Linked DNA regions of Oryzias latipes. The protein of the gene in region 1 interacts with the protein of each later gene in a biochemical or structural test. Links are inferred from orthologs where the notes say so. Each region holds a gene or a part of one and is shown on either strand. Other genes may lie near its edges.

The links.
Region 2: the proteins of map1lc3a (region 1) and atg7 form a complex in vitro, tested with the Homo sapiens proteins (2 studies listed by BioGRID, with this or other methods). The link is inferred for Oryzias latipes from reciprocal best matches to the Homo sapiens genes MAP1LC3A and ATG7.

The regions. Positions count from the first base shown.
Region 1 is NC_019863.2:5,854,936-5,865,278, forward strand, and holds the start of map1lc3a (microtubule-associated proteins 1A/1B light chain 3A), read left to right. Parts: upstream 1-4,182; 5' UTR 4,183-4,316; coding exon 4,317-4,356; intron 4,357-7,590; coding exon 7,591-7,646; intron 7,647-7,831; coding exon 7,832-7,938; intron 7,939-10,343. UniProt on the Homo sapiens protein: Ubiquitin-like modifier involved in formation of autophagosomal vacuoles (autophagosomes). While LC3s are involved in elongation of the phagophore membrane, the GABARAP/GATE-16 subfamily is essential for a later stage in autophagosome maturation.
Region 2 is NC_019863.2:9,479,257-9,489,636, forward strand, and holds the start of atg7 (ubiquitin-like modifier-activating enzyme ATG7), read right to left. Parts: upstream 6,537-10,380; 5' UTR 6,044-6,536; intron 1,700-6,043; 5' UTR 1,663-1,699; coding exon 1,491-1,662; intron 1,381-1,490; coding exon 1,326-1,380; intron 1-1,325. UniProt on the Homo sapiens protein: E1-like activating enzyme involved in the 2 ubiquitin-like systems required for cytoplasm to vacuole transport (Cvt) and autophagy.

The DNA.
Region 1 (10,343 bases):
CAGTGAGGGGAAAACGATGTTTCCAGACTTTTGCTTGCAGAATGAAACCGATAGTATGTAGACAGAAAAAAAAGCTAATCAAACACTGTGCTGTTGTCTAACATGATTTTTTGACAATGGAAATCTGGAGCCATGATTAACATATGGATGTTTTTAATACTGTGTTATTACTTGATGCTTCATTGTGTACATATTTACTTTTACTATAGATCACATGTGTCAAACTCAAGCATAAAAGTTTTTATTTTCTTAAAATAAAATAAAAATTGTTGTGTATTTAGTCATATCTAGGGGAAATCTGACTTAAAATATCGGAATGGGCAACTATACATTAGGACTTAAACACTGTCCATATAAACTAACCTGACAGAATCAAATGTAAAAAGATTTATGGTAGAGTAACAAGCAAACATACGTTTTTATGCAACTGTAATTGTCACTTTAAAAAGTTATAATAAATAAATAATGAGTTATTTAACATTAAGGAGTAGTTACATTTATTTTTCATTACATTTAGTTACATGAATAAGTCACATCTGGCCCTTTGAGGACAACCACTATGCTGATGTGGCCCTCAGTGAAAATGAGTTTGACACGCCTGCTATAGATCTATTTAAATCATGACTTCTGACTCGTTCAACTGCCTTTTTTGAAACTATCTTCACATCATTTCTTCTGTAACGTTTTAATTTCCCACTTTACACTGGGTCAGTAAACGTAACAAAAAATGCCCTCACTTTTAAAACCAGAGCTCCCCCTTGAGTTTTTAGTTTGCCCATGCATCTTTAGACCCAAGATCGCGAGCAGGGAACAGGTGGAGGAGAAGCTAGAGAGGTGGAGGTTTGCCCTGGAAAGGAGAGGAATGAAGGTTATCTGCAGGAAGATGGAGCACATGTGTGTGAATGAGAGGAACCCAAGTGGAAGAGTGAAGTTACAGGGAAAAGAGATAAAGAAGGTGGAGGATTTGAAGTATCTAGAGTCAACAGTCCAGAGGAATGGAGATGTGGAAAAGAAGTGGAGAAGCGAGTGTAGGTGGGTTGGAATGGGTGGAGAAACGTCTCAGGTGTGATGTGAAGAGTTTCAACTAAAATGAAAGTAAAGGTGTAGAAAACTGGTGAGAGTAGTCATGTTGTGGGCTTAGAGACACTGGCAATGAGGAAAATACATGAAGCAGAGCTGGAGGCAGCAGATATGAAGATGCTGAGGTTCTCTTTGGAAGTGACCTGGATAGGATCAGGAATGAGTGCATCAGAGCGACAGCACATGTTAGAGGCTTTGGAGATAAAGTCAGAGAGGCCAGACTGAGATGGCTGGGACATGTCCAGAGGAGAGACAGAATGCCTTTCTTTCGCCAAATGGAAGAGCGTTCAGTGTGTCACCAGTTATTAAGATGACATTTTTAAATAAATTTCAAGTTTTAATAGCTTTTAAATTTGTAGAATTTTTGAGAAGTCACTGTAGTTTTTTTGTTTTCACAAATGAAAAGAAGTAAAGATGGTTTCATGGAGGTATATTTACATTTATGGAATTTGGCTAGAAGAAAAATTAAATTGAGTAAATAGGCCTTCTTGTTTTCAATTAAAAAAACACAACAACCTAAGATAATATGCCTATAACAAAGAAAAACAAAACAAAATAACATAATGAAGAATATATTTTTCCAGCAAGTTTAGTACACCAGTCCAAAATGTTGTGGTACATGAACAGATCTTAAATTATGATATTTTATCATATTCTTCAATCTTTTTATGTTTTATGATGTTTTATCACATAATTTTATCATTTTATTTGCTTAATCTAGAATTTTTATTCTTGTATTTTATGACATTTTATCATATACATATCTGTTTAATCTAGAATTTTACTTGTATACTTTTTTTATGATATTTTAACACATTTATTTTATTAGACTGTTTACGAGTGTTTTCTCACCCTTGGCTGGGGTGTTTGTGTTTTATACTGACACCCCTGCCAATAGGAGGACAGGGCAGACGGCGCCTTCTGGTTTCTCTGGTTTATCTTTATTTATTTATTTATTTATTTATTTATTTATTTTCCACTGATATTTGTCTTTGTGTATTTTATTGTGTGGGGCTAATTTAACGTATCTTATTATATTTTATTGCATTTGATTTTGTTTTTATGTACAGCACCTTGAGCTGTCTTTGAAAGATGCTATATAAATAAAATTAATTTGAATTTGAATTTAAATGAATGTGTAACGGTTTCCAGAAGACTATTTCAAATTGATATCCTTTTGAAATCTGTGGGAGATAAAAAAACATTTAGTGGATAATATTTATATAACCATTCATTCATTGATTCATATTCGAATCTTCTAATTTTATCCTTTCAGGTTCACCGGGCTGCTGGAGCCTATCCGGGCCAATTGCGGGCAAAGGAGGGGACATCCTGGACAGGTTGTCAGTCTGTCACAGGGCCACAATCACACACACATGCACACACACATTCACACCTATGGACAATTTAGAGTTCCCAATGAACCTATGAAGCATGTTTTTTCTGTAGCAAGATTAAAAAAAAATTCAAAACCAGAAATGCTTTTTCATTTTAAAAATGAAGCTGTATTTGTTGACTCAAATTAAAATGAAAACACAATCTGCCAAACCGCTTTTTCTTTTTCAACACAACTCATTCTGTCACTTAATTAAAATGATAATGAAACGGTTTTTGACATTTCCTTTACAAAATGTTCTCTGGTAAATGTGATGCAAAATTCATTTAGAAATGTCTAATTTGACAATTAAAATGGACTAACAGAAATGCTTTTTCATTTTCACAATGTAACTGCATCAAATAACTCAAAATTAAAATGAAACATCAATCTTTCAAAATGCTTTTTCATTTCTACTTTAACATCTGTGACATAATTAAAGCAAAAATGCAAGGAGAGGATTGCATTTTCGTTTTCACATCCACCGTGCGAAAAGTGTCGCAATATTAAATTGAATCCGTTAGTTCAAAAGGGGCCCAAGTCCAAGAGGTTTGTTTTTCCAGGAAATGATTTTAATTGCATAGCTTATAGGGAGGCTACACCAAATGATGAATACTTTACCCAGATTTAGCACAAGTTCATAGCTTACAAATGCTATAATATGAAGCACCTCACTTTTATCATTTTAGAGGACTAGCAAACTAAAGTCTCTGGACTTGGACCCTTCTTGAATTAAACAGGGGTGCTGCCATATTGGATAACTAGTGCTGCCATCTATGGGATAAAGCTAAACCCATCCAAGAGAGGCCCAAGTCCAGGAAAATGCACTTAATGCATTTTAAATGTCAAGCATAGTCAATACATAACAACGGACTTGGGACTTTTTTTTGCACATAATCAGATAGCTTTTCCCTTGAAGACCATAGAAAAAATAAAATCTCTATTTTGAAAAATTGTGGACTTGGGCCCCTCTTGAACTGACCAATTCAATTCTAGTTAGCATTTGCAGGAGGGAGGCGGGGCAAAAAAGAAAAGAAAGAACATTTTGGAGGATTGCTTATTTTAATTTTGAGTCAACAAATGCAGCTGCATTTTCAAAATGAAAAAGCTTTTCTGGTATTGACTTTTATTTTTAATTATGCTACAGAAACACTTCCATAGTGGTACACATGCAAACTCCACGCAGAGACGTCCCCATTGATGTTCTGTTTCAGGACTTGAACCAGGGGCCTTCTTGCTGTCAGGCAAGAGTGCTGACCACTGTGCCACCATGTGCAGTGGATAGTGCTATAAACATTTAAAAGAAATGCATCTTATCTAAGTAGTTTAAAAATATTTATAATGTAATATCCACATTTTTTCCAGGGTGAGCTAGAGATTCTACTGTTCCAAAACAGAAATGATCTGTGGAGAAGAGACAGCAATCCAGCATTTGATGTCTGAGCCTGGAATCTTCATTTGGAGTCTTGTGATGGTCAGAGGGCCCCAGAGGGGCCCCAGAGGGCCCCCAGAGGGACCGCAGAGGGACCGCAGAGGGACCTGCCCCTATAGCGTTTTTGCTCCATGCAGATCGGGTTTTCTGTTTGGTTCGGGTGAGAACGGCAGCTTCTCAGTCCAGTTAGGAAGCCCAAAGTCTGGCTGATGGAATGAAGGAGTGAAGTGGTTCCAACACCTGGACCAGTTTGGTTCCGAGCAAATGGGGGACGTCCCCTTTAAACGTAGCTGCTGACGTCACCGTCTGTGTTCAGAGGCTTTGTTTGCCCGGACGGAGCCGCCGCTGAGAAGACCTGTAGAGAAGAGCGCCGAACCGATTTGCAGCGTCTGACTTAACCGGGCTGGACCTGACACCACGGCGACAAAGATGCCGTCCGACAGGCCTTTCAAGCAGCGGAGGACTTTCGGTAAGAAGAACCGGCCGCTGTGGGCCCCGCCAGCCCGTCCGCCACCGGACTTTCTCAGGGCAGGCCAGGGCCGCCGTGTCCGCGGATGGCCGGCCCGGTTCCGTCGCTGTCGGCAGGACCGGCGCGAGACCTCTGCAGGTTTTCGTGGGTCAGCTGGGTTCTTGTCACTCTGGGCCTGTTCCCGTTCTGCCAGACCTCCGATAGCAGATTAAAAACTGCGAGCCGGACCTCGGTTCCGTCAGTGCTTGACCCGTTTACCGTGGATGCTGCCATGTGACACCGGAAGCTCCTTCTGTTCTTCCAGAGGTCTCGCAGGTCGTGGAGGTTCAGGCGGTGCTTCTCTGTTGGGGGTCAGGGGAACGGTACTGTGGTGGGGGGGCAGCAGAAGGTCACTGACCACCTCAGGACTACTGTACTCTAACAAGGAAACGATCTAAAAGTAATAGATTACTTTAGCTGAGGCCCAACGGGGGCAGCCATTTCAACCAAGAAGCTGCTTATCACGTGTTCCTGCTGTAGAGGATTATTAAAAGATCAATTCTCAAGATGTTTAAATAGAAAACATTCAAAATGAGATAAATTGATATCGTTACCATTTGGATTGAAGTACAGTAGATTTATTTGACTATAAGGTTTAAAGTGACCAAGTGCATCACAGCAGACAACACAACATACATGTGATGTCATCAGCAAAAACTGATGAGTCCATCATTACAGTCCTATGTGTAGAAAATACTTTGAATATAAACATATATAGACAAAGTCATGTCACCATACAGTGTGGTAGAATGTTTTTAAAATGTTCCCTTTGGATCATTTTGATGTGGAAAAACAACAGTGGACTGAACTTTAGGAAACTAAAATGTGAATAGATTGGACATCCATTCTTGTTTACTTGTTTGTTTGTACACATATTTAATTTACACTTGATTATCTTGAAGAAACACAAGGAATCTGGAAAACTTCCCCTACACTGTTCAGAACCTGCAGGTATTTCTCTCTGAGTCACACTGGTGGACGTTTTGGCTAAAGGTGTCCTGGATCCACTTTAAGTCAGTGGATCAGATCCAATTGGATCGCCTAACATGAACCAAAATCCAAATTTAGTCAAATTGGCAACCACAGTCAGCTGTAGCTACTGAGCAATAACAACATTAGAGGACACCTCCATCTCAATGAAAGAGCAGAACCCCCTGCAGAACCAGATCCATGTTACTTGTTAAGGTTGAAACATTTGTTTTCTAGGAATCATTTTTGTGCTCGTGTCATTGTAATGGAAGAAGCTGCTCTCATCATTCCAGCACTCTGTCGTTCTTTAACAACACACACAGACAGCACTCAGCCTCTGGCCTCCATCTTTAATGTGAACAAGTGAAACTGCAGCAGCAGGAAAGGAACCCTTAAGTGAGGTTTGATTTCTGCCGGGGTTCAAAAACAAGAAATGCAGCATTCTAAATGACACCAGGAAACACTAGCTAATTAATCCACATGTACTCAATGTCTATGATAAATGAAAAACTCCAGGAATACAAAAGACAAGGACAGAGGGAACAAGGTGTCAAATTCATTTTGGTTTGGGGGCCGTCTGATCTCATGTGGGCCAGACCAGTAACATAAAGGCAAAATAACAGCTTTGTGGTTTTTTTTCTTAGTTGGAAAAAATGCCTTAACCATAGGAGGCAAATCCCTTATTATTACAGATTCATTGACAGAGGCCAAGGGATCTAAAACAAAATGCATTTCACTTAAAAAAAACATGGTCGATTCAATTTTATACAGACTGAAGCAATCCTGATAATAAACTCAAGAGGGGCTACGGAAAAAAAAGAAACACCTTGCCTAAGATTTAAATGTGTAAATAAAGGAAAAATTAGACTAAATCATACTTGCAAACATATGTGAGCAATTTGGAGTTAACCTCCCTTTCTCTCCTGAAACCATCCATCAATATCAGGATTTAAATCCTGTGCAGCAACACATTTACTGTCATTCAAGTGTGCAAAACACAATGAAATTTCCAAGAGTCTTTTCCTGGTTTGCTGCCAGAATTTTGTGGCAACACCTGCCTTCTTCCTGAGCTTTGATGGGGCGCCATCAGTGACCAGACTGACATCATGTGACCAGTTCACTCCAACATTGTCCAGCACAGTAACTAGAGAGCTGACTATGTCATCAGCTGTTGTTTTGTCCATCAACTCAAGAAACTCTGCTGTGATGGTCTGCTCAACACCTCTAATAAATATGCACAACTTTATTCATCTGTGATGTCGGTGCTTTCATCAACAGTGACTGAAAATACAATAAATGACTAGATTCCTTCATTTGGCCGTCCAAGTCTCCTCGGAGATGTTGTGTAATCGTAATCCTTGACAGACTCATGTTGGCAAAGGTAGACTGCTTTTTGGGGTACAACACTTCTGCATCCTTCATATTTTCCATAAGTTCACAATCCAAAAATGGATTGGATGTTTGCTCCAACTTGTCTGCAATAAGGTGTCTATCACTGCTCTATCACTGACGTCACGGCTGCAGTTAATGCAGACGGTTGTTTTTTCAGTCTAGCTAATAGTTGGTAAATCTTCTCTTTTCTTAACTGCAAATAGTGAAACTTTTTTTATGTTGAGTCTCATAATGGTGCTGAATGTTATATTCGTTGAGCACTGCAACCTTTTGATGGCATACCAAGCATGCAGGTTTTCAGGTTTCAGCTCCATGAACAAATAAAACTCTTTCCATTTTTCCTGGAAAGCTCAGCCCTCCACTTCAACCTTTTTTACTTTTGTTGCTTTGTGATTCTACCCCCTCCCATACGTCTTTATCATCCTCCAACTACTTGAACCCCATTTTCCCCCCTTTCTTTTGTACCCATGTCCCCCATCTCTAACATCCCTCTTCCTCTTTCTCTCCTTTTTTTCCATCCAGTCCAGCAGGAGATGTATGCAAAAATATTTAATGTAAAGTTTAGCTTCATATACAAAATAAGTTTATACAAATATACACCTTGTGTGTTAGAAGATTCCTAACCTCCTATTGTTACAGTAACATCTGTCCAATACAAGAAGCCTTCAGCTCTGATTTGTTTTCTCGCCTTCTGCACAGGACAAGAACAAATTTCATGTGGTTTTAGAAGATGCCCAGTTGCTCCATTACAGCCTTCACATTAGCACTGCAGAACACTCAGGCAGTTAACATACAGAACCTTTCAATGTTTTTCTGGGTCTGGTTTCCCCACAGCTGACCGGTGCAAAGAGGTGCAGCAGATCCGGGAGCAGCACCCAAACAAGATCCCTGTAAGCTGCCTTTAACTTGATCATCACTGCATGCATTGAAGACCAGCTTTTACCATGTGGACATTTCTCTGAGCATGCTAATGCATTAGGAAAGCATGTGGCAGAACTCCTATGTTTCCATGTTTGGTGGGGGAGGGGGGTACCCAACATATAGAAAAGACAGACAAACTTATCTTTGTCTGCAGGTGATCATTGAACGGTATAAGGGGGAGAAACAGCTGCCCATTCTGGACAAGACCAAGTTCCTGGTACCTGACCATGTCAACATGAGTGAGCTGGTAAAAATAATCAGGTTGGTCCCTCGTTTGCTTTCATTAAACTTCAACTTTGGATGACAGAGAGGCTTGTTTAGTCTGCCACTGCAGAAACGTAGCATAAAAAAGGGAACAGAGCAGGAGAGCTGGACCAGAGAAGCGAACAAATGTACAAAAACTGAAAAAGCATGAGACAAAGCACAGGGCCCTGCGGTACACCATCCCTGGCTTGTGTATATTTACAGTATCAAACTGAAAGTTATCGTTTTAATATGGATTCTTTCTAGCTTGGTTTCAGTCATGAAGTAAACCCAACAGTGCTGTGCTACACATCAGTCCATGATTGGGTGTCATTCTAACCTGCAACGGCGAGTAATACACTAAGAGGTTCATTGAGATTTACTCACTAATAGGGCTGCGTGATATGAGGAAAACTTGCGATATGAGAGATTAATATTGCGATAATGATATAATTTGCGGTACATAATCAAATGGCAAAATAACCAAAAACATCATTCCCATTTCATTCCAACAGTTTTAAAATTATATGACCCTCGTCAACATAGGTGACAAACAGCTAACAGAATAGGCCTCCACCTGATTGGTCAACAATATGAAGGCGTACATCCGATTGGTCAAATGCATAAAGGGATTTAATTGATTCTTTAAATGCCTCAAGCTGCCATAAGATTGTTTTAACACATTTAAGGTTTACAATTTATTGTGATTTTTGCAGATTTTTGCCAATTAATGATATGGATATCGCAGAGCTGGGTATTGCGATAACGATAAATTTGCGATGTATCGTGCAGACCTACTCACTTAAAGTACAAAAACCAGAACATGATTTGATAAATGAAACCAAGCTAGTAGAGGTGCAACGCAAGGCACGTTTACCGCTGCCTGTTAAAGGCAGATTTACCTTTTTTAGCGGGTGCAGGTTCCTCTTCTGTCTCTTCATTGGACCGTTTCCCCTTGTCAAAGCAACTTTCTAAAGAAGTTTGTTTTTTGCTCATTTTGGTTGTTTGGGTTTAATTTTAGCGGGGTGTATCATGTGATGTTTGGTGTCGCGACTTTGACGTGCGTGAAATGTGACGGATGTAACAGAGAAAATCCAGTCAATTTTCAAAATAAAACGTTTTTGCGAAAAAAAACAATAAAATGGAAATTATTTTTTCTTTCTGTGCGTCCCGGTGCCAAAATTTCCCGCGGCCCGGTACCGGTCCACGGCCCGGTGGTTGGGGACCACTGATTTACAGCATTGATTATCTTATTTGTTTTCAGATTTGTGAATTTATGGCTGAGGATCTCCTGAAACTGTAAAATAACCTGTAAAGTTTATCTGCTGACATTACGCTAAATCAACAGGCATGTGTGTTGTGTTCATTTTATGTTAAATCTTTCAGTTTCTTATTTTTAAAAACTGCTTTTGTAAGAAAAGAATTTTCATAAAAAAAGCTACTTTCTCTTCATATTTCAACATCAATTGATAAAAATAAGACATGGAGTTGGAGTTCAGACGTTTTATTCTGCCACGGGGTTTTAAACAAAATGGTCGCTACACTAAAAGAAAGAAATGCTAAACCCTGTTTTTATTTCATTTTTGTGGCTTTGCTGCTCCTTCTGAGAGAAACGCGCCAGAATTGTTGAAAACGGCAGAAACCCCTTCGAACAGAACCGATACAAAGTCCACGTCTTCCTCCAAGCACTTAATACAAGACAGAGACACCTGATTAGTTAGAATCTAGACCAATCAGCAGGCTGTTTGATGGCAGCTTTGTCACGCTAAACTGAAACTTATGAGAGCAAAGTCATAAGGAAAAAAGCGAGATGAGACAACGCATGTGAAAACATTTGTGCTGTAAATTCAAAATTATTTTTTGAAAACAAATATTTCATATTTTTTTTGCAACTTAGAACGTTTTGTTTGCAATGTGGTGGCATAAATATCACTTCATATTAACCATGATGCACAGCATTTGCTCACCTGAATCTCCAGGTAACTGGAGATAAAACAGCAGACCAACCAATCTGTAGCCAAGTTTCCATGACACATATGCACAAAACTTTATTGAAATTCTAGAAGAAAAAAATTGGCAATTACACTGTTTCTATTAAACTCTGATTACGTGAAAAATTACAAACCAACTCACGATAAGTTATTCAAAAATGTGGTGATGAATGTGAACAATGCTTTGATTTACAGCAGATACGTTCAGATTTCTGCCACGGCACTAGCGCTCATCATCATCTCTATCAAAGGAGACGTTGGCGTCTTATTCAGACTTTGGAGCGGCGAGCTCCTTAAACGTAGGAGCGGCTACAAATGAAGCCATTTTTGGAAATGGTGGGTGGTGATTTTAGAGATGTGGATCCAAAAACTCCACATGACGCGCTCAACTTTTGATGAGCTGTGTGACGCTGTGGGACCTCTTGTGGCGCC
Region 2 (10,380 bases), about 3.6 Mb from region 1:
ATTGGCTCTTTAAGACATAACATTAACATTAGTTGTGTCCTCATCCACTTCCTTTTCTTGTTAAGTCAAAGCTAGACTCAAATTCGGTGTCAGTTCTTAGATTTATTCTTGTATGAATACAACAGAGGGGTAAACTCATTTTACATTTCAAAAATGTAAACTGCTGATGTATTTTTATGCTGTAAAGACGTTCGTCCAAAGATGATTCCAAGCATTTTTTTTCAGAGACTAAAAGGAGAAAAAAATCTGTCCTTGGCCCCATGGGAGGAGAAGAGATGATGCATCCCTCACTTCGCATGAATCCTCTCAAAATGCCTGGCATGACTGCTGATAGGCTCAGCTGGGTCCATAGTAAAGAGGTGGAAGCGAGACAGAGAGAGCTAAAATAGGAGGAACTCCACCTGCTGCTGTGAGCTCCAGAGATGCAACACAGGAACTCCTTCCTCCATGATGAAACAGAGTTGATTTATCTGCTGTACTTTATGGAATGGATGGTAACTGATCTCACTATAATGACAAAAAGCTTCGTAACAGACTAAATTGAGAATACACAGGTGGATTTTGAGGAGCAGAAGGTCTTGCATATCAAATTAATTCTGTACAAACTATTCACTTAATGTGCAGTTTGAATTTATTTGCTTACCCAAAACAACAATCAACATTTAAAATGAAAATGTTCCACTATGATTATTGTCTTTCTGCACAGACCGATGCAGTTAGCTTTCTTGTTGTACAACAGTCATTGCAATAGTCAACTCCTGCAGGTCTAAAAAGAATAAATGAACCGTTTGATTGACTTTTTGACACATTGCTGAAACTGCCGAATGAGGTTCAAAGCAGCCTTTTAAAAAAGTTGAAAATGACCCGGGAAGCCGTCATCTTCACTTCAGGAACCGTGGCCACCAAATATATCTGAATGATTATGATTAAAGGCTCATTTAAAGCTCTTAAAAGTCTTTTCAAAGAAAAAGTAATAACAGAATTCACAGCAGCCTTTCATAATAAAGTACATCTGATGCACATCAGAATTGAATATACTGAAGGGAACAACAGCGAACCCTTAGGAAATCCACACCTCGAGATAGCTTGGAAATATACTTTAGATTTAGTATTTTTATATGATTGTAATAAAAAGAAAGGACATTTTAAATGCACGTTATTCTCAAAAGCTTACGCCTAACAAAACACAGGAGGGTGTGACGGCTGGGGGCCTTTATCAAGACTGAATTATTACTATAGGCTTTAAACTGTGTTTCATGTTTTGCTTGTAAACTGTAAAACAACTACTTGCAATCATGTTTGTGTTAACAGCATGCTGCACTTACACATCAAACGCGCTGAACTCCAGAGTCAAGCGAGTGGGTAAGCCAACAGGGTCACCTGTCAAATAAAAGTGGAACATTTTACATGAATAAAGATGAAATAATTCAAAGCCGCCATTGCACCTACAAGGGTTTATTATAGTGACACCACCTGATCAAGCCACTCACCGTTATAGTAATATCCTTTGATGCATTTAGGGCTTTCATCCAATTTGTAGTCATTAAGTTTCTTTTGAGTGAGCTGATGCCAGAAGCCGGCCTCCAAAGCGCTGCTGAAGGGTGCAAACTGCAGCTTGAGATCTGCAGCGGATGGTGGCGCTCCACTGATGTCTGACGTCATGGTAACTTCAATCACTCAGCAAAAAAAGAAACAAGCTCTGAAAACACAAAGTATAACAAAAAAGTGGAAAAGTTAAGTTTTTTTTCTTTGGATGATAATTTTCTATACATTGCTCGCCATTTACAGTGGGGCAAAAAAGTATTTAGTCAGCCACCAATTGTGCAAGTTCTCCCACTTAAAAAGATGAGAGACCTGTAATTTTCATCATAGGTTTACCTCAACTATAAGAGACACAATGACAACAAAAATCCAGAAAATTCCATTATCGGATTTTTAAATAATTGATTTGTAAATTATGGTGAAACATTAAATATTTGGTCAATAACAAAAGTTCAACTCAATACTTTGTTATATAACCTTTGTTGGAAATGACAACAGTCAAACATTTTCTATAAGTCTTTACAAGGTTTTCCCAAACACAAACTTCTATTCCTCCATGCAGATCTCCTCTAGAGCAGTGATGTTTTGGGGCTGTCACTGGGAAACATGAACCTTTAACTCCCTCCAAAGATTTTCTACGGACTTGAGATCTGGAGACTGGCTAGGTCACTCCAGGACCTTGAAATGCTTTGTACAAAGCCACTCCTTCAATGCTCGGGCAGTGTGTTTGGGATCCTTGTCATGCTGAAAGACCCAGCCAGGTTTCATCTTTAATGCCTTTTAGTGGTGGAAGGAGATTTTCTCCCAAAATCTGACCATACATGGCCCCATTCCTTCTTTCCTTTACATGGATCAGTCGTCCTGATTCCTTTGCTGAAAAAAAGCCCCAAAGCATGATGTTTCCACCCCCATGCTTTACAGTAGTTAAGGTGTTCTTTAGCTGCAACTCAGCATTCTTTCTCATCCAAACACGAGTAGAGTTCTTACCAAAAATTTATTTTTGGGTTTCATCTGACCATAGGACATTCTCCCAATCCTCTTCTGGATCATCCAAATGCTCTCTAGCAAACTTTAGACGGGCCTGCACATGTACTGGGTTTAGCAGGGGGACACGTCTGGCACTGCAGGATTTGAGTCTCTGGCAGCGTAGTGTGTTACTGATGGCAGCCTTTGTCACTTTGGTCCCAGCTCTCTGCAGGTCATCCACTAGGTCCCCCCATGTGGTTCTGGGATTTCTGCTCATTGTTCTTGTGATCATTTTGACCCAATGAGTGAGTTCTTGCAGGGAACCCCAGATTGAGGGAGATCATCAGTGGTCTTGTATGTCTTCCATTTCAGAATAATTGCTCCCACAGTTGATTTATTCACACCAAACTGCTTAACTATCGCAGATTCAGTTTTCCCAGGCTGGTGCAGGTCAACCATTTTGATTTTGGTGTCCTTAGACAGCTCTTTGGTCTTGGCAATAGAGGAGTTTGTAGTGTGACTGTTTGAGGTTGTGGACAGGTGTCTTTTATATAGATAACCAGTTCAAACAGGCGCCATTAAAACAGGTAACAAGTGGAGGACAGAGGATCCTCTTACAGAAGAAGTTACAGGTCTGTGAGAACCAGAAATCCTGCTTTTTTATAGGTGACCAAATACTTACTTATTTCCACCATAATCTACAAATAAATTATTTAAAAATCAGACAATGTGATCAGATTTTCTGGGGGGGGGGGTTTTCACTTTCATTTTGTCTCTCATAGTTGAGGTTAACCTATAATGAAAAATTACAGGGCTCTCTCATCTTTTTAAATAGAAGAAAATCCACAATTGGTGTCTGATAAAATTATTTTTTCCCCACTGTATCTATTCCTACCAACTCAGTGTAGAGCTACCAAACACTTAAATACTGTTTGAAAGCAACTTGGCTTTAATAGCTTTCAGTATAAAAACTTCAATGAAAATCATCAGCCCTTAAAAAGTGAATTATCTCATCTTATTGTATTAAAGCATTAAAGCGTATGCCTCACTGACAGTCTTGTTTAGATTAAGTACAGTAAATAATTACCCTTTGAGGAGACAGAGTGATCTTGGAAGTCTGGTACATTTCAATTTACCAGCAGATCAAGAGGAGAAACATCCCAGACCTCCAGTGTTTAGCCTTGGGCCATTCATCGTTTATTTCTCAAAACATAAACAATTACACCGGCTGTCCTGGATTACCCAACACTTAAAAAAACCATTATCAAATGCAAGTTTGTAAAAAAAGAAAAGCATTATGACAACATGGATTTCATGTTTCATCCCCCAAGATGATGAAAGACTAACAGAGATGATTAACATTTAAAAAATGAACAAATATATTGCAAATAAAAGTTCAACTTTATGAAGTCCTACTTGATTTATTGAGTTTGGGGGGGGGGGGGGGGGGGACTCAACTATTTCTATTTTTTTCCCCCAACTACAGTAAGGATGTGGACATTTTCACTGAAGTTACTTTAAAGAACTTAACACTTGCATAAGCAGAGAAACGTCTTGTAAATCAGCGTTTTGATAAGAATAGTTGTATTTTTGAATACAGATTAAAGAGATTCTTCTTTTTGTTTTGTTTTTTAACATTTCAGGTTGGTGGTGTACCTTGTGAAAAAAAGTGCAACTTGGCTGAAAAATGTCTGAAAAAACAGGAGAATATATATTACAGAGTCCCTTGCAAAAGTGTTCACCCCCTTGAATATTTGTTGAATCACTCGTGGTCAATACAATTTGTCTTTCCTCAAACAAATATTTACAAGAAAAAAACCTTCAAAGTCAATGTGAAAACAGATTTCTACAAAGTAATGTAAATGAAACAAAAAAATGAATGAAATATAACAGTTTGCATAATTGTTCAACCCATTTAAATCAGTATTGAGTGCATCCACCTTTGGCTGCAATCACAGCACTGAGTCTGTGTGGATAAGTCTCAATCAGTCCTGTACATCTGCACACTGAAGTTCTGCTTCATTCATCTATGCAAAACCGCCACTCCAGAACATTTATCTTTTTCTTTTTAAACTTCTCGTGTAGCTTTTGCAGTATCATTTGGATCATTGTCTTGCTGAAAAAAAAATCTCCTCCCAAGCAGTAGTCCTCTTGCAGACCGTAAGATATTGTCCACCAAGATTTCAGTGTATTTTGCAGCACTCCCACAGTGCTGCAAAATACACACAAAATCCCCACAGCATGATGCTGCCACCACCATGCTTCACAGTGGTGATAATGTATTTTTGATGATGTGCAGTACTTGGTTTCCGCCAAACAAATCTTCTTGTCTGATGGCCAAAAACTCACTAATTGTGAGACTATTGGCACTAATTTAATAAACCTCTATTGAATTAGACCCTTAAATTTCAAAGCGGGTTGACAATTATGCAAACAATTATATTTCATTTAATATTTTTGTTTCATGTACATTACTTTGTATAAATCTTTTTGCACATTGACACTGAAGGTTTTTTTTGTAGTAAATTTTTGTGAGGAAAGAAAAATGTGTGGATATATATTTATATATATTTAAAAAAAAAAAAAAGCCCCTCTCACCCTCCGCGGGTGGTTTCTCCTCCAAGCTCGGGTCCTCTACCAGAGGCCTGGGAGCTTGAGGGTCCTGCAGTATCTTAGCTGTTCCTATCACTGCGCTTTCCTGGACTGAGAGGTCTGAGGTCTTTCCAGGTATCTGTTGTAGCCACTCCTCCAGCTTGGGGGTTACTGCCCCGAGTGCTCCAATTACCACAGGCACCACTGTCACCTTCACTTTCCAGGCTTTCTCCAGTTTTTCTCTGAGTCCCTGTTATTTCTCCAGTTTCTCATGTTCCTTCTTCCTGATGTTCCCATCGCTTGGCACTGCCACATCCACCACAACGGCTTTCCTCTGTTCTTTATCCACCACTACAATGTCTGGTTGGTTCGCCATTACTATCCTATCAGTCTGGATCTGGAAGTCCTACAGGATCTTTGCCCTCTCATTCTCTACCACCTTCGGAGGTGTTTCCCATTTTGACTTTGGGGTTTCCAGTTCATGAACTGAAGAGTTGATGAACTGGAGAGGGGCGTTTTATTTATTTTTATTTATATATATATATATATATATATATATACAAACACAGAACAAAAAAATAATTAAAAAAAAAGAAGAAATGAAAGAATCCCACTGTCTCTGCTGCCCCAGCAGATCCAATGACATTTCTCAGAACCCATCTTGCCTTATTAGATTTATTTATTTCATTTTAATGTATCTCCACCACCATTTTAAAACACAATGTACATGTAGTCAGGGGAAATAAAAGGATTAGTTAGTGTAGATTTTGGCAATTCAAAAGAAGCCCCACTGTAATCAGAAAACGGCGCTTTAACAAGTTGAACTTTTAATCACGAGGAACCTTCTGGGGAAAAAAAGACCGAAGGGAGGACGAGTAACAACAAGAACAAACACACAACACAAGTTAAACCAGACAGAAAGGAATTACTGAACGAGACTCACCCTCAACGGCTACTTCCTGGTGGAGTTGATCATGTGATCGTGGAAATTGTCAACAGAGCAAAGGATTGTGGGAAGGTAGCATACCCCCTTTTAGCTTAGCATTAATCTTTTTACGGCGCCCGCATCATAGAGTAAAACACGAAAGACCAGAACAAAAACAAAAAAGCGCAAACGATGAAACAGGAGAACACGGACAGAAACCTGTACGCGCCGTTTCTTTTCATTTCGGTTAAATAAAGGCTCTAAGGAAGCGGATCATGAATGCAAACCACACGCAGAATACTCCGTCTTTCCTCCTCCTAGGGTTAAAGATTTTAGATATATTTATTAAAAATAACACACTAAGTTTTACGGCTGCACGTCCACAGTTTCTAACTTTTAAAGCAGATATTTGATTATTTTTTTAAGTATGTATATAATTATTTTCCAAAGTGGTCGCAGGACAGTAAAGACAAAAATCATTCCATGTAGACGCGGAATGGAAGGAATCCCGCACCGGGGGAGAGGGGTGGAGTGGTTACGTGTGTGCTGCAACGTTCCTTGTTCGATCACCTTTTTTATTTGCTGAACATGGAGCAGTTGACACTTCTTTGCATTTAAATTATATCCTTTCTGATATAGGGCTGACAGTTATGGTTGACTTTTTTATTTATTTATTTTTTTACAATAAATCTATATCCTTGATATAAGAGCATGTTCAGCCTTGCCAGTAATGCAGAAAGTCAATTTAAATAGTCAGTCACAAATGTGTACTAATAAGGTACAATATTGTGCTGAAGTGAAATAATATAATTCATCTTATTTTGGAGTACTAGTGATTTACAATAACAAAGAAAAAATATATCTCTACCATGCAAAATCTTTACAAATTCAGTATTAAAACCCCTGTGGATTTGACTGGTTAACTGCCTTTAGCATTTAGGAAAAGTAGTCTGTTTAATTTAAAATACAAGTATACCTTGTCAATACTAAAAGTGAGGCAGGATACTTGAAGTTCACTTTTTATATGCTATCTCTTTATTGTAAACTTAAAAATTTCACATTTAATCTGAAGAAATCTTTAGATAGTACTTTCTACACTACATGTACATGATCCATAGAACACTTGCAATATTTATACTAAAGTATACCTAATAAAATAAACTTCAAGTGTAAGACTCTCTGACCAAATACATTTACTAGTTTTCAAGTGATCCAAAAACCCATTTTTTTGTGGTAAATGTTTTTTACATTTTACTTGTTATCAAATGAAAAAAAAATCTCGTAGTCAGCTAGTGTGCAATATGGTGCACATTTTAATGTTTACTAGTACACTAACACTGCTATATATGCATTATTGTGAGCTATGGGCATTTGTAATTTTACTTTCCTAGAAAATGATGTAAGACATTGTCAGCATGTAATTAGCTTATTACTTATCCAGATATCAAGTGCATCAAATATAGCTAATTGTTAACACATTTTTTGGTGCAAATTTTTGCATAAGTAAATGTTTACAATAAAAGAAAATAATACACTTATAGTTACTTGACTAGAATACATTTTGGACCTACTTGGGAAGCAGTTAGGAAAAGAACAACTTACCTTTGTTCCCAAGAAGGATTTTTATCTTTCAAAAGTGGACTAGTTTAAAGTAAGGTATACAAGGATCTTCAATCCTGAACTCATAGAAATAATGCATTGAATTTTACTTGTAGTGGGACATGACGAGAAATCATGGATGTTAGAAAAAATATCACTGGTGTTTTTGTGCTTTGTTAGTAAACTGGTGAGCCTAAATAGGAAGAACTAGTCTACAGTTTAAAAAAATTACTAGTTCACATCTTTTGACTGTGGTTAGTGAACTAGTTAGACTCTCTGCATTATCAACAATGATACCAATGGTCTTGGATATGGATGCAACAGTAAAACAAAATATTTTACTGTTGTAAGAAAATACCTATAAGGAATACTAATTTGTTTTTTTGTTGCAATTAAACCTCACAGATCACTATTTGCAAAATGCAGGTTACAGAGTCTGCAAAATGCAGGTTACAGAGTCTGCAAAATGCATGTTACAGAGTCTGCTTAATGCATGTTACAGAGTCTGCTTAAAGCATGTTACAGAGTCCCTGCAAGATGTTAAAACGTACATTTGCAATTGCAATCAATCCCTGAACAATTACGGAAGAAAACAGCAACCATCTACGATAAAAAATGGGTTTGAGCTCAACAACTGATTTTTTAATATGGCCTTTTCCATGCAAAATAATTTTTCATAGCTTTTAAGTGTATTATAAGGTTCCTTCCACACAAAAACAAACCCCAAAAAAGTATTTTGATCCATTCACGCATTTCTGAGTATGCCTCTAAAAACCTGTGGTCTGCGCACCAGCCCCTCCCGACCTACAAAAATTAGCAGGTTCTCACGAGCTGACATTGACCAGGGAGAACAGCCCCTTCCAGGAAGAGTCTGCACTGCCCACCCCCAAGCTAACACACCCACTCACTTTCTCCACGGAGCTAGTGGTGACCGAATAATATGCTTTTATTTTATATCCACATCCATCTTTACAAAGGTTTAGGTCTGATCGGCTGTTTTGACCCTGCTACTGAGCGTACACTGAGCGTACGACCTGAATGTCTCAGACAATGGAAAGCAGAGGATGCAGTGCTGGAGGACATATCCTCATGGGAAAAACCCCTGCATGGGATGTACCACTGAACCATAACTAAAGTGACTGATATCAAGAAGTCCTACCAATGGCTAAAAAGGGCTGGCCTACAGGACAGCACTGAAGCACTCATCCTGGCAGCTCAGGAACAAGCCCTGAGCACCAGAGCAATAGAGGGTCAGATCTACCACACCAGACAAGACCCAAGGTGTGGGCTGTGAAAAGAGGCGCCTGAAACAATCCAGCACATAACTGCAGGATGTAAGATGCTGGCAGGGAAAGCATTCATGGATAACCACAACCAAGTGGCTGGAATAATATACAGGAACATGTGTGCAGAATATGAACTGGAAACCCCAAAGTCAAAATGGGAAACACCTCCGAAGGTGGTAGAGAATGAGAGGGCAAAGATCCTGTGGGACTTCCAGATCCAGACTGATAGGATAGCAATGGCGAACCAACCAGAAATTGTAATGGTGGATAAAGAACAGAGGAAAGCCATTGTGGTGGATATGGCAGTGCCAAGCGATGGGAACATCAGGAAGAAGGAACATGTGAAACTGGAGAAATACCAGGGACTCAGAGAAAAACTGGAGAAAACATGGAAAGTGAAGGTGACAGTGGTGCCTGTGGTAATTGGAGCACTCGGGGCAGTAACCCCCAAGTGATCGGATCAACGGTCGGATTAGAATTTAATTGTGTACATGGGCCCAGAAAAACCTTTTCCAATTATCACAAACGTTCACATGGGTCACATTTTCGGTTGGTATAAATCATTCGCACATACTCAGTAGTGTTTGAAATACCGGAAGAGAAAATGAGTTACGCTGAGAGGCTACATACATAGATATCCGGCAGCTCCACAATATACTAGATGATCTTCTAAACGTGCTTTTATCAATGTTACGGTTATTATGAAGCGCCTGTTTGCTCATCATTTTCTTTTTAACCCGTGTGTTCTGTGCTTTTTCTGTTGAAGAACGGAGCTGGAAGAAGGGCTAACAACATTAGCCTTTGATGAATATAAAATCCATGCGGGAAGCGCTGCAATCTGCATCTTGGCTGCACGTAAATATGTGGGAATAACATCAGCCTTTATTTTGTCGGGACACGACTGGAAACACAAATCCAGATGATTGTTTGAACAGTTTCTAAGGACTCAGCGACATTTCTGCTTTGAAAAGCTCACACACCGCCCCAAAGCAGCTGTGTGAGCTGACGGTCCGAGCTCTTCCCGGACACACACATTTACCGGGAGACCCGGTTCTCCTGAGTTCGGTGGCTCGTTCACCTAGAGCTGCGGGACGGATCGCAGTCCGAAGTCTCCCACCCATAGCGCACATGTAACAAAGCATCCTCCCTTTCCCTCAAACACAAAGTTGTAAGTCGGTCTGCTCTACTCAGAGACACGCGTGCTCGTTCCACCGGTCCACTTGCCTAATCAAGTACAGGACTACTTCTTTTCTATTTTGTTGTTTATTTATTTATTTATTTATTTATTTATTTATTTATTTATTTATTTATTTATTTATTTATTTATTTATTGTTAAAGCCACTTCCCTCAGTTTATACTGGATCATCGCGGATTAGTCATTAGTTGGGAAATAAAATAAATGAAGTAGTAAAGTAAAATAATGAACAATAATTATAAAATAACGCAAAATTAAAAACACCACCCCGACG